Linked DNA regions of Rhinolophus ferrumequinum. The protein of the gene in region 3 interacts with the protein of the main gene of each other region in a pairwise test. Links are inferred from orthologs where the notes say so. Each region holds a gene or a part of one and is shown on either strand. Other genes may lie near its edges. The genes, in order: FBXO7, KHDRBS3 and PSMF1.

Region 1 (3,746 bases), on a different chromosome or scaffold from region 3:
AGAGACATCTTTGCTTCTCACAACTGGGCGATGGGGGTTCTACAGGCATTTTGTGAATAGAGACCAGCGATACTGCTAAACATCCTACAAGGTGCAGAATAATCCTCCATGACAAAAACTTATGAGGCCTCAAATGCCAGTAGTACTGAGAAATCTTGATCTAATATGTCCTCCACACTCTATCCGTGATAGGTTCACGTTTCAGATCTGACCCATGCTCCTTGTAGTGTACACCTGTCAGACGCATGGCTTCCTACCATCTTTTGAACAGCCTTCTTATATTTTGGGAAATTCCAATATTTTACGTTCCACTTCCCCAGGAAAGTAGTTTGGGCCTCAATTTCCAGTCTCCTTTGCAGCCAGGACTCAGGCATGGGACTTGGTCTTTCTCAATCAGATGTAGCCCTATGAACCTTTGATTTAGAAGTGAGTAAGCTGAGGAAAAAGGCTCTTTTGGAAACTTGGCATTTTGTTGGTGCAGGAGGCTGCAAAAGTGTGTGGCATTTGAAGGTGGCAGCCATTCCCCAGGGGTGATAGCAATGGCAGCAGTTTCCTCCAGTGCGGGGTGGGGTGGGGTGGCAGCAGCGATCCCAGTCATGGTAATTTCCTCATCAGGCCAGTTCTTCAGCATGGTTCTGAGCTTCATTCCTGGAAGCTTAGCCTGGAGCCACTTCTCCAGTCCTCCCCGGAATTTCCTGAGCTATCTGGTATCATTTTAACATGCTCTTTTCTGGCTTAGTGACCGGTTTAACTTCTATTGCTTAGAACTAAGACCCCTGCTAGATAAAGACGCCCCTACTTAAAACTCTCCAATAGCTTCCCATACATTCTAGAATGTGTCCCAAATCCTTCGCTTAGTCCAAGGCTATTTTGTATCTGGGGATGTACTCACTCTGTCCTTTACCCTGGCCACACCGAGACACCCTGATCCTGCCCCCTTTCCTCAATCCCATATTGTTTGCCACTAAAGAACCCTACTGGCACAGCAAAGCTCCTCAATATCTTTTAATCCCTAGGACTTTCTCTTCTCTCTTTCATAAACAAAGACACTTATTACACTCTACTGCAAGAGTTGATTCACTCAATTGTAAACTGTACCAGTAGGAACATGTCTTTTCAATCTTTGAGTCCCCAGCACCTGGGATAATATCTGGCACAAAGGTGATCAATACATTTCTTTAATGAATCAGGATGTGGGCAAGTACCGCCACCTATTGGGAGAAACTTTATTCAACTCTTAAGATTTGGACAATACAGGGATAAATTTTGGATACTTTTCCCCTCACCTAAGCTATCATCGTCGTCATTATTGTCAGGTCCTATATGGTAGCCAGCCTCCCAGATGGCACCCTGTGATCCCTGACTATTGACTGGGATTCATGCCTTAGGGTTGATCCTCCCACACTGAAGGCTTGGTTTGTGATCAGTAGAATATGACAGAAATGATGGTATGTGACCTCTGAGGCTAGATCATAAAAGACGTTGTGGCTTCTGCCGTAGTCTCTCTGGGGTCACTTGCTCTGAGGGAAGCCAGATGCTATGTCATGGGGACACTCAAGTGGCCTTACACGGAGGTCCATGCGGTGAATAACTAACCTCTCCTGCCAACAGTCGTGAGTGAGCCATCTTGGGAGTAGATGCTCCAGTCCCACTCAACACTTCAGATGACTGCAAACTTGGCCTACATCTTGACTGTAATCTCATGAGGCCAAGTCAGAACCACCCTGCTAAGCCAGGCCCAAATTCCTCACCTGTAAAAACTATGGGGCAGTAAACACATGTGGTTTTCAGCTGTTAAGCTTTGGGGCGATTGCTATGCGGCAACAGGATACTAACACACTCTCCGACACACGTAGATCACTGATCACAAGCTGGTTCACATTTTGCTGTAACAGGAGCAAATGACCAGAGCCTGAACTCAACCTTAGGCTTCTCAGAGCAGATGCCGCAGGAACTGAGCGCCGCGGCAGAACTGGGCTAAGAACCAGGCACACCTTAACCTGGCGGAGAGGCGAGGTGTGTCGTCTGCAGCATCCCTCTCAGCGCTACCATTCTCCAGGTACACCTGGAAGGCATGGGCACAGCCAAGGCGTGCAAGAACCTCGCGTGACACCCGCAGCCCGCGGCAGGCTCGGCGCCTGCGCAGCGCGCTCCTCGAGCTCCCAGGTGGCGCCGTTGAGCGCCGAGTCATCGATCGTCAAGTTCCCGAGCACCCTGGCTCCGGGCAGGACGCCAGCCGCCCGCTCGCGGGGTGAGCTCCAGAGGGCGCCCTCAGGAGAGGGGCCGAGTGCTCCGCTTCAAGAGACCCGCCCGCAGCGCGGCCGCCGCGGCGGGGCCTTCTCCCCGTTACCCCTCAGCACCCCTCCAGCACCGGTAGTCGCCGTTTCGGCGCCGCCGCCGCTTGAGACGGGAGCTGTCCGGCCGCGCCGCCGTCACCGTCGCCACCTCCGGGTCCAGGCCCTTGGGCCCCGCCGCCGCCGCCGCCATGAAGCTGCGGGTGCGGCTTCAGAAGCAGACCTGGCCGCTGGAGATGCCCGAAACGGAGCCCACGCTGGGGCAGCTGCGTGAGCACTTGAGCGAGGCCCTGCTGCCCACCTGGGGGTACAGGTAAGCGGCTGCGGCGGGCGCACGGCGGAGAGGCGCTGGCGCGCCTCGGGCTGCGGGAGGCGTGCCGGCGGGCGCGGGCCTGGCCGTCACGTGCGGCGGGCAGTGGCCGCCGCGTCGCGGGTCTGACGCCCCGGGACTGTGACGCACACAGACCGGGCGGAGAGCGGCGCTGGGGTCCCGGCTCGCGGAGAACATGGCCCAGCGTCGCGGGGGCTCCGTGCCCCTCCAGGGTGAGCCGTCGCTTCCGTTCTGGCAGTAACAGAACCCAGGAGTAGGCTAGCACGCGACACCGTTCCGCCCTTTCCAATGTAAAGTTGGAAATTATGGATTTGGTTTGGGTTAAACCTTTCCAGGCTCTCAGGGGTTTAAATTCACCAACTCCAGCTGATGGGGTAGTTAGTTGAAAAGTTTGGGAAGTATTAGGAGGAGTTCGCAATCGGCCCTCCCTCCGAGGCCATCTGAAACTTGTGCCGCCGCTGTGAGGCTGCAGTAATCTTAAGACTCCATTGAACGTTTACGTGCCAGGCGCCGCGGTGCCCACTTTGACTTACCCGCCGCAAAGTTTTACAAAGTGCGGCGCGTCGGCGTGTCTCAAATCATATGATTATCCTGGGCGAGATGCTGCTTTTAGCTAAAACTAAGGCAAACGCAGGCCTTATGATGACTCTGGAGAGTTTGCAGTTTGGGAGCAGTGACATTAAGAAGTAAAGGATCAAATTCTGTTATTCATTTATGGGGCTGCAGATGAGGCTGCTTTGTTTCCACAGGGTATTTTCTGGGGACAATATTCTGGGAATAGAGGGGCAAAAGTAACGGTGGCCCTCTTCAAATACGGAGCTAGAAATTTGGAATTTTGTACTAAGGAAAGAATAAAAAAGATGTTCGCTGGGGTTTTTTAGGTGAATTCTTCACAAGAAAACCTTTGTTATTTAAGTGGCTCTTTTTATAAGACTTTTACAAACTAAAATTTTATTTTTAGGAAATTCAATAAAATGAGCCATATTATGAACTTCTCACCCATTCATTTTTCAGATTAAGGCATTATTACATTAAAAATAAGCCTCATTTTTTTTTCCAAATTACGAGAAATAAAAACAAAATGCGGTATTGACATAACCCCTTTAAACATTATATTAAGT
Region 2 (3,746 bases), on a different chromosome or scaffold from region 3:
GGACAGCAAAGCGAAATAAGTTAGGCAAGTCCTGGGAGCCTTAAAGAGCAGGGCGGTTCGCCCGGCTGCCTTTCCCCTGCGCGCGCTGGGGCGAGCTTGCGCTCCCCTCCCTTCTTCTCCCCCATTCTGACCCCTGACCCGCGGGTACCACTGCACAGCTCTCCCACCGGGGTTGCTCGCTGGGTGACCTTGGACCGGCCGCTTGACCTCTCTGGGCCTCAGTTTGTCGGTCTCTGCCCCTGGCAATGCTGTAACAGCATCGCGGGGCTCTCCCAACGTCCCCAGGGCTGGAGGAGAGCGCGGAAAGGGGGGAGGAAGAAAGGAAGAAAATAAAGCGGAAAGAGCGAAGTAGGAGAGGCAGGTAAGGAGGAGGAGGAGAAAAGGGGGAGAAGGGGGGGGGATAAAGAGAAGGAGAGGAGGGAGGCGGCGAAGGAGGGCGGGGGGGGACGGGTGGGATGGGAGGGGCACGGCCCGGCGCGGCGGCTAAGAGCGCGGGGAGGGAGAGCGGAGTGCGGGTCGCGGCGGAGCGGGGCGCCGGCGGCGGCTGGCGGGGCTCGCCCGGGACTGCGGGAGGCTAGCTGAGCGCGCCGCCGGTCCGCCCGCGGGCCCGCTTGGAGCCCGCCCGCGCCCGCTGCCCTCTGCTGGGGAGCGGGGGGCCGCATCCGGGAGGCGCGGCCGCCAGCGCGGGGCACTCAGCGGGCGGCCCCCCCTCCCGGGGACCCGGGCGGCGCGGTCGGTTCCCACCCCGTGCCGCCTCCGCCAGGCCGACCGCCGGGCTTGGCGCGGCCGCGGCGACCAGCCCGGGTTCCGCGCCGCTGGGGCGCGGGCGCGGTCGCGAGTTGCGGGGCCGCCGCTGCCCGCCCGCGTCGAGTCCGCGTCCGGGGCCCGGGCGGCCCGCGAGCATGGAGGAGAAGTACCTGCCGGAGCTGATGGCGGAGAAGGACTCCCTGGACCCCTCCTTCACACACGCTCTGCGGCTGGTGAACCAAGGTGAGGGTGTGCGCCGCCGGTCGTTAACTGACGCCCGAGGCCATGGGGGCCGGGAAGTGGCGGCCAGGGGGCTCGGAGACGGGAGGGTCGGCACCGGGTAGGATGCGGCGGGCTTGGGAGGCAGAACTATGAGGATGGCTGGAAATAGACCTCGGGGAGGAGAGGAGGGCCCCAGGTAGCAATCGGGGGGGGGGGCATTTGGGTGGGGACCTGGGAGATATGGGACACCTGGGGAAAGCCAGAGATGTGAATTTGGGAGACTTGGGAAGGAGAAGCCTGGGGCATTGGGATGACACTTGAAGGCAATCCTTGGGGACTGGAGGACACCCAAGGGAAACTTCTGGGTGGGGGACAGCGAACATCTGGGGACTTTGTGGGGCGGGGGTTGTATTATCTCATCGGAGGGGAAGATCGGGAGGTAGCTCTGGAAACTAGTGTGGTTAGTCTAAAGAACTGGAGAAAGAGCTGGATGAAAATGGAAGGATTTGAGGAGACCAAATGCAGAAGATGCAAAGGGAACAGGTGCTGGGTTGTTAGTGAGAGTTTGAGGACCCTGGAGGAGGTTTGCGGGCAGACCCCAAGCCCGGGAGGGCAGGACCCAGCTGCCCTAGTGGCTGAGCCCAGTTCCCGCTCTCATGTCTGTATTTCTTCCATGCCCAGGCTCTAGCAGCCCTGGTGGGGCGGTCTGCCCTCCCTGGGGGGTGCACAAGTCATGCCAAGCCTCGCAGGCTGGCTGTTGCAGGGATCCATAGGGGAGAAGAGGTGACACAAGTGCCCCTTTTTGGCTTGCCTGTCCTCATTTTGGGAAGAGCTGAGTGGGCGACCCTCATTGGTGGCTGGCTCAGGGTTCAGAACACTGGCCAAGGAGTCTGCTGCCCATACCATTTTAGCACTAGTCCAGCCAGCTCAGGGTTTGAACAGTCCTGGGAATTACAGGACAGGGGCACACAGGGCTGAATGGAGGCGTGCCTGCCTGGGACAGCGTCCACTGGCTTGTTCATCCTCCAGCTTCCTGAATAATCTTCTGGGATGGAAGGTAAATGAAGTCTTCTTTCCCGGGAGCAGACCTCTTCTCCTCCTGTGTCTGGAATTCACGTTGCAGATAACGATGGGTTTGGGCCCACTTGTCTGCTTTTCTTCTGGGTTATGGCAGAAACATTATCCGGTCAGACGTGTTACCTTTTGCATGGCTCACTCTGTGCAGTGACAGTTTGTCGTCCCCGAGATGAATCGGGTCTGCTGGTCTTAACGCTGACCCTGGCTCTTTCACTGTCGAAAGTGAACAATGAGGCAGACATATTCTATTTGTACATAGATATCTATATTTTAAAACAGCAATCTCCGACGTTTGCCGATTACAACCAGTTCCTCAGACTGATGGTGGTGGAGAGACTCACTGTCTCCAAGAATTGAAGCATGATATTTGAATTGTTCAGCAGGCATCAGTATAGAGCGCTTTCCCATTTTGTTTTAATTTTAGGCTCATCTTGCTTGCTTTACTAAAACGGGCTTGTGGAAAGGTAATGGATATGTATTCTTAAATTTTATTCCCATGCCCTTCTGAACAGTCCTACAGTTAGGTTTGTACTTCTTGCTCTTTATGATTTACATAGATCTTTTGTTGCCTGCTGGGCTGTCATCTCTGTGAAAGAAATTTCTTTGTACATTGTGTGAGATGAGTGGCATTAGAAGTATTCTGGACTGTAGAATCGAGTGAATTTTTCTTCATAGAGAAGCTGAATCAAACTTACGTTGTACTCAGTTAAGGAAACAGTTTAACTAAAAGTTTAATGAGTTATTTCAAAAGTCAGATTTTTTGTGTGTGCCATAGTATTGTGTTGCTAATACATTTAAAGTTCTTTTGGTTTCTGTGTTTTTACTAGTGTTAATGGCCTCTGGTTATTTGAAATAGATATTGGACAGTATTGCTATTTAATGTTTTTTTAGATGTTAAACCTGATTACCTTACTTTTCCATCAAAAATGTAATTTTTGTAAGAAGTACATTTCTCACTCCTTCCTTATGTGAAGGAATAAAAGTGCTACTCATGTGCTCTTATTAATGTCAATTTAGATTATTTCAGACTGAAACGTTTTTCCCTTAAGTCAGAGGCTGATATCTAGGATGCAAAGTCCTATCGTTTAAAATATTAATGACGCTGTTATATAACTCGAAAATTACAAGTGCATTTCTAAAAGTGTCTTAAATCTGAATTTGGATGGTTATTAGGAAGCTTTGATTTTAAATCTGGTAACCATCTTATATTATTGACTTGAGGAAAGCGTTTTTATTCTTAGCTATATTTTTGACTCTTTGCCTCTAAAGGAAACTGGTTTTATTTTAGAGGTTACTCTGAATCTCGATACTAGAGTTGATATTCCTGCGCTAACTTGTACAGAGATGATGGTTCTGCAATGTGAATCTTCATTGTATTGTGGAATGGGTGGCAGGTCCAAATGCTAACACTACCTTATGTCTGCATAGTATTTTAAAGTTTCCAAGGCTCCTTAAGGCGCCTGCTATCCTGTTCTGTTCTCATGCTTGTATCTTTGGGAGGCTCACATGGATGTCTCCATTTCTCAGGGGAGAGAGCTTGGACTCAGCTATGCAAGCTGGGGGCAACTGACATGGATTGCCTTTGGACTCAGGTCTGTTATCGCTACCTGTGACTCCCCCAAAAGGTGGAACAAAACACTTTGCACGTGCCAATTAAAACCGTGCAGAAACCAGGTAATTAATATGCTTGCTTCTGGGTG
Region 3 (3,746 bases):
TTTTCCCGAGCCACCCCTGCTGCCATGAGATCACACCACATCTGCATGCGTGTTACTCTCTGAGGCCCGCGACCTCACCCCCTTACTTTTGGCTTGGGCTTCCAGGCTCTCGGCCTCACATGGAAAGGTGCTGGCTTGGGTAGTAGATGGCCATCAGCTGTGACTAGTTGGCCGTCAGCTGTTAGCTGTTAGCCATTAGCCACTGATATAACTGCCGTGGCTACACTAGCAGGGGGCCGAGTGTGGATTGCGGATTGCAGGGAGACTGATTGTAGTTAGCAAGTGAGGTTGGTTGGCAGAGAAGCGGGTGGCGGGTTGCGGATCATGTGGCTCCTGCTTCCTGTGTCTCCAACCCAGCCACCAGGGAGAATATAGTGGTATGACTCCCCTATCTGTGGCTCCATGGGTGTTCCTTTTTGGCCTCACCATGTCCTGTGTTCTTATGTGGGGAGCGGGACGAGAGACCCTGAATGACAAATTGTGCAGCGACTAGGGTATGGTGTTGGCCAAAACAATCCGAAAGGTAATGGAGCTGTTAATACATATAAACTCTGTTTTGGGAGACCCGTGAGAAGTAGCACTGGGAACAGGAGGTGCGATCTGTTTGGGAGAAATGTTACCCCTCAGTGAATTGGTGGGTCTCTCAAGCTGCCAGATTGCACGCCACCCTGTTAGCCATAGCAGGCATCACCTGCTTTTTGGTAGCCTGCAGCTGCCGTAGGCTCCGAGGGTTGCAGACATCTTAAACCGTAGCCTCCACCCAATCAGGCACCTGGCACCGCAAGCAGGATTCTGGCCAGGTAGAAATGGTGTCTGACTCTGCAGGAGGACATGTGGCCCCCACACAGTGTGTGGTACCCAGTAGCCACTGTTCTCAGAAGTTGGACCCCTGAGGAGGGGTGGGAGGACATGGATGGCTCTCCAGCCAGTATGGAGAGGACCCTCCGTGACAGTCATCTTGGTCAAATTTACCCTCTGTGCTTCTATTTACCCAACTGTAAAATGGGGCTATCATTAATACCAACCTTATAAGGTTAAGTCGTGAGGATTACATAAATGAATACAAGAAGTAAAGCATTTCAAATAATGTGGCACATAGCACATTAGCACTAACCCTAACCCTAATATAAGAGCCGACTATTATTATGAATATATTTTAGCCATATAGCAAGCACTACATAAGATCCAACTATTATGATGAACATATTTTAGCCATATTTCTTAACCTCTCCCGCCACTAGCATACGCCCATCCCGTTTTGTGGGTGGGAAGTCTGTGGCTCAGAACGAAGTGGCCTCTCCTCAAAACACCCTGTCTGCAGAGGTCCGGCCAGAAACCGGGGAAGATAAGGATTCCAGCTTTGAAGGGCCGCTCCCCCAGGGGCCCCACCCGCGCGCTACCTGGCGGAACCTTTAAGTGTCGCGCTCCAGTGTCCCGCCCCGGAGCGTTGCCGCCGCTGCGCCAGCCTGTAGAGCTACTTCCGGCGGCCCTGCCCCCACCCCGGGGAGTCTCCATTTTGGCCGGTGGTGGAGTCGCAGGCGGGACTAGCGGAGTAGCAGAGCGGAGTTATCAGGCCTCGGAGGGCCGAGAAGGCTCACCGCATTTCCTTACTTCCTCTGCCCGCAGAAGCCCGGGACGCGCATGGCGGGCCTGGAGGTGCTGTTCGCATCGGCGGCGCCGGCAATCACCTGCGCGCAGGACGCGCTCGTCTGCTTCCTTCACTGGGAGGTGGTGACGCACGGCTACTACGCCCTGGGCACCGGCGACCAGGTACGCCGCGGAGCCGGTTCAGGATCAGGGTGGAGGGGCTCAGGTGTCTTCTGCCCAAACCCATAGGACCGAAGGCCTGGTCCAAAGCGCCTGTCCCTTCTTCCCTCCCAAGTTCGGAACCTGGGGTGCACGACCCTATGGGTGTAGTGCCTAAGTGGGCTGCGGGTGGGCGACGTGCTGTATTGTCCCTGCTCAGCCCAAAGCCCCTCCGACACAGCTGGCACGGGATTGAAAACCCAAGGACAGAAACTCGCTTCTGCACAGCCTAGCAGCCTCCCAGGCCAGGCTTATGTGGACCTGGCACCTCGACGGCTGTCCTCCCATGCGCACTCCTCACCTGCCTGACGTCCACTCAGCTCCTTCCCACACAGTGGGGGACGAGGAGCTGGACTCAGTCCTGCCGCCATACTGTACTCTAGCCTCCATCAGATAACTGGATCCAAGCCCAGGGAGAGGGGTGAGCTTTGACCTACTCAGCCCCAATCAACGGCCCAGTGCATCCCGCTCGCCACCCTCATTCCCAACTCTGGGCTGGGGGAGACAGGTACCTGCCACACACAGACAGCCTGGCTGTAAGGTTTCCTCCCCACCGCTGTCCCTCCGTCCTGCCCTCCCATGTCAGGCTCTGCCTCTCACAGCTGGGGGCCTTGTCAGCCCCCAGGGAGCCCTGGGACTGCTGGGCACAGCCTACCTCACTACTTCTTTGCTGTACCATTCTCCCCTCGTCCCTGTGACTCCCGTACTACACGGCGGCTTCCTGTGAGAACCGCGCCTAGCCTCCTTACTCCCCCTTCATTTCCCTTCTCCTCCCTCAGGAAATACCCTCCCAGCCATAGTCACTGCTCGCACACTCAGGACTCCAAGCCTGCCCCTCACTGCCTCTCTCTTCTCTCTCTCAGAACCTAGACCAGTTCTGGGGAGCAGGGCACCTCACCCCTTGCATCTTACAGTGAGATTTTTAACTTGACTCTCATTTCTAACTGCTTCAGCTCTCAAACTCCCTAATCCTTTTTTAGTTCCCCAGATATACATCCAGAGTCTTAATGTTTCCTCTCCTGACCGAGAGCTTTAGGGATCCCTCCTCAAACACGGTTTACACGGCCTGAGTACTTAGAACCAGCTACTCCCCGGAGCTCTCACTGCCCCATTCCGCTGTCTCTTTGAACTAGTGACCACCACGCCCACACCCCTGTCTCTGTGCCCGCACCAACAGGAATCAGAAGCCCAAGAACTGTCATGGATTTTTCTCTCTCTCACTTTCTCTTTTTTTTCTCCCTCCCCCCCAAACTTCTAGTTTCTCACTGGGACCCCACATAGACACTTAGCATCCCTTTTCCGCACGTCCAAGCTCACATATACTTCTTCCCTCGTGTGGACTATAGGACTGGAGATAAGGCTGGAAAGGAAGGACTGGCCTTTCACATACACACACCTGGAAACAGGAACCATTTCTTGCCCCCAAATGTCTCTGTTCCTGGCTTTTCTGTTCACCCTGCGCTCCATCCACTTACCTTGTCTTTCATCATTTTAGACCCTTTCACCAAATAGAGACAGCTCCCACTCAGAAGTGTCAGGCCTGCCCTTTCAGTGGATAGTCTCCCCAACAGAAACCTATATCTCCTCATTTGCCCCACTCTAGCTTTCCGGTATTTGACAGTTCTTTCACTTGCCCCAGTCATTTCATTTCAGCTTTTCCTGGGAAGTTCTCCCAAGAATTTGTAGGATGTGCAAGGGGCAGTGGGATGAGAAAGCGGAGTAAGATTTGGTCCTGACCTTGGAGCTCCCCCATGGGCCCTCAGCTACCCCCCACCCTGCCCCTTGCCCTCTCCTTCAGGTCCTACAGGTCGACCCTGTTCTCTGCCCGTCCGCACACATCTCACTTGCCGTGTGTATTCCCAGCTAGCTGCTACGAGCTGCCACACCGTCAGAACCTCTTCTCCTGGAACAGGAGCTTGTTACACAGGGCCTGCCTTCTG

The links.
Region 1: the proteins of PSMF1 (region 3) and FBXO7 interact in binary tests that used the Homo sapiens proteins (3 or more experiments, as listed by UniProt). The link is inferred for Rhinolophus ferrumequinum from reciprocal best matches to the Homo sapiens genes PSMF1 and FBXO7.
Region 2: the proteins of PSMF1 (region 3) and KHDRBS3 interact in a two-hybrid assay, tested with the Homo sapiens proteins (2 studies listed by BioGRID and IntAct). The link is inferred for Rhinolophus ferrumequinum from reciprocal best matches to the Homo sapiens genes PSMF1 and KHDRBS3.

The regions. Positions count from the first base shown.
Region 1 is NC_046293.1:13,035,614-13,039,359, reverse strand, and holds the start of FBXO7 (F-box only protein 7), read left to right. Parts: upstream 1-1,564; 5' UTR 1,565-2,485; coding exon 2,486-2,607; intron 2,608-2,711; exon of another isoform or gene 2,712-2,800; coding exon of another isoform or gene 2,801-2,837; intron 2,838-3,746. UniProt on the Homo sapiens protein: Substrate recognition component of a SCF (SKP1-CUL1-F-box protein) E3 ubiquitin-protein ligase complex which mediates the ubiquitination and subsequent proteasomal degradation of target proteins and plays a role in several biological processes such as cell cycle, cell proliferation, or maintenance of chromosome stability.
Region 2 is NC_046297.1:68,448,965-68,452,710, forward strand, and holds the start of KHDRBS3 (KH domain-containing, RNA-binding, signal transduction-associated protein 3), read left to right. Parts: upstream 1-834; 5' UTR 835-902; coding exon 903-990; intron 991-3,746. UniProt on the Homo sapiens protein: RNA-binding protein that plays a role in the regulation of alternative splicing and influences mRNA splice site selection and exon inclusion. Binds preferentially to the 5'-[AU]UAAA-3' motif in vitro.
Region 3 is NC_046306.1:23,868,459-23,872,204, forward strand, and holds the start of PSMF1 (proteasome inhibitor PI31 subunit), read left to right. Parts: upstream 1-1,470; 5' UTR 1,471-1,641; coding exon 1,642-1,770; intron 1,771-3,746. UniProt on the Homo sapiens protein: Plays an important role in control of proteasome function. Inhibits the hydrolysis of protein and peptide substrates by the 20S proteasome. Also inhibits the activation of the proteasome by the proteasome regulatory proteins PA700 and PA28.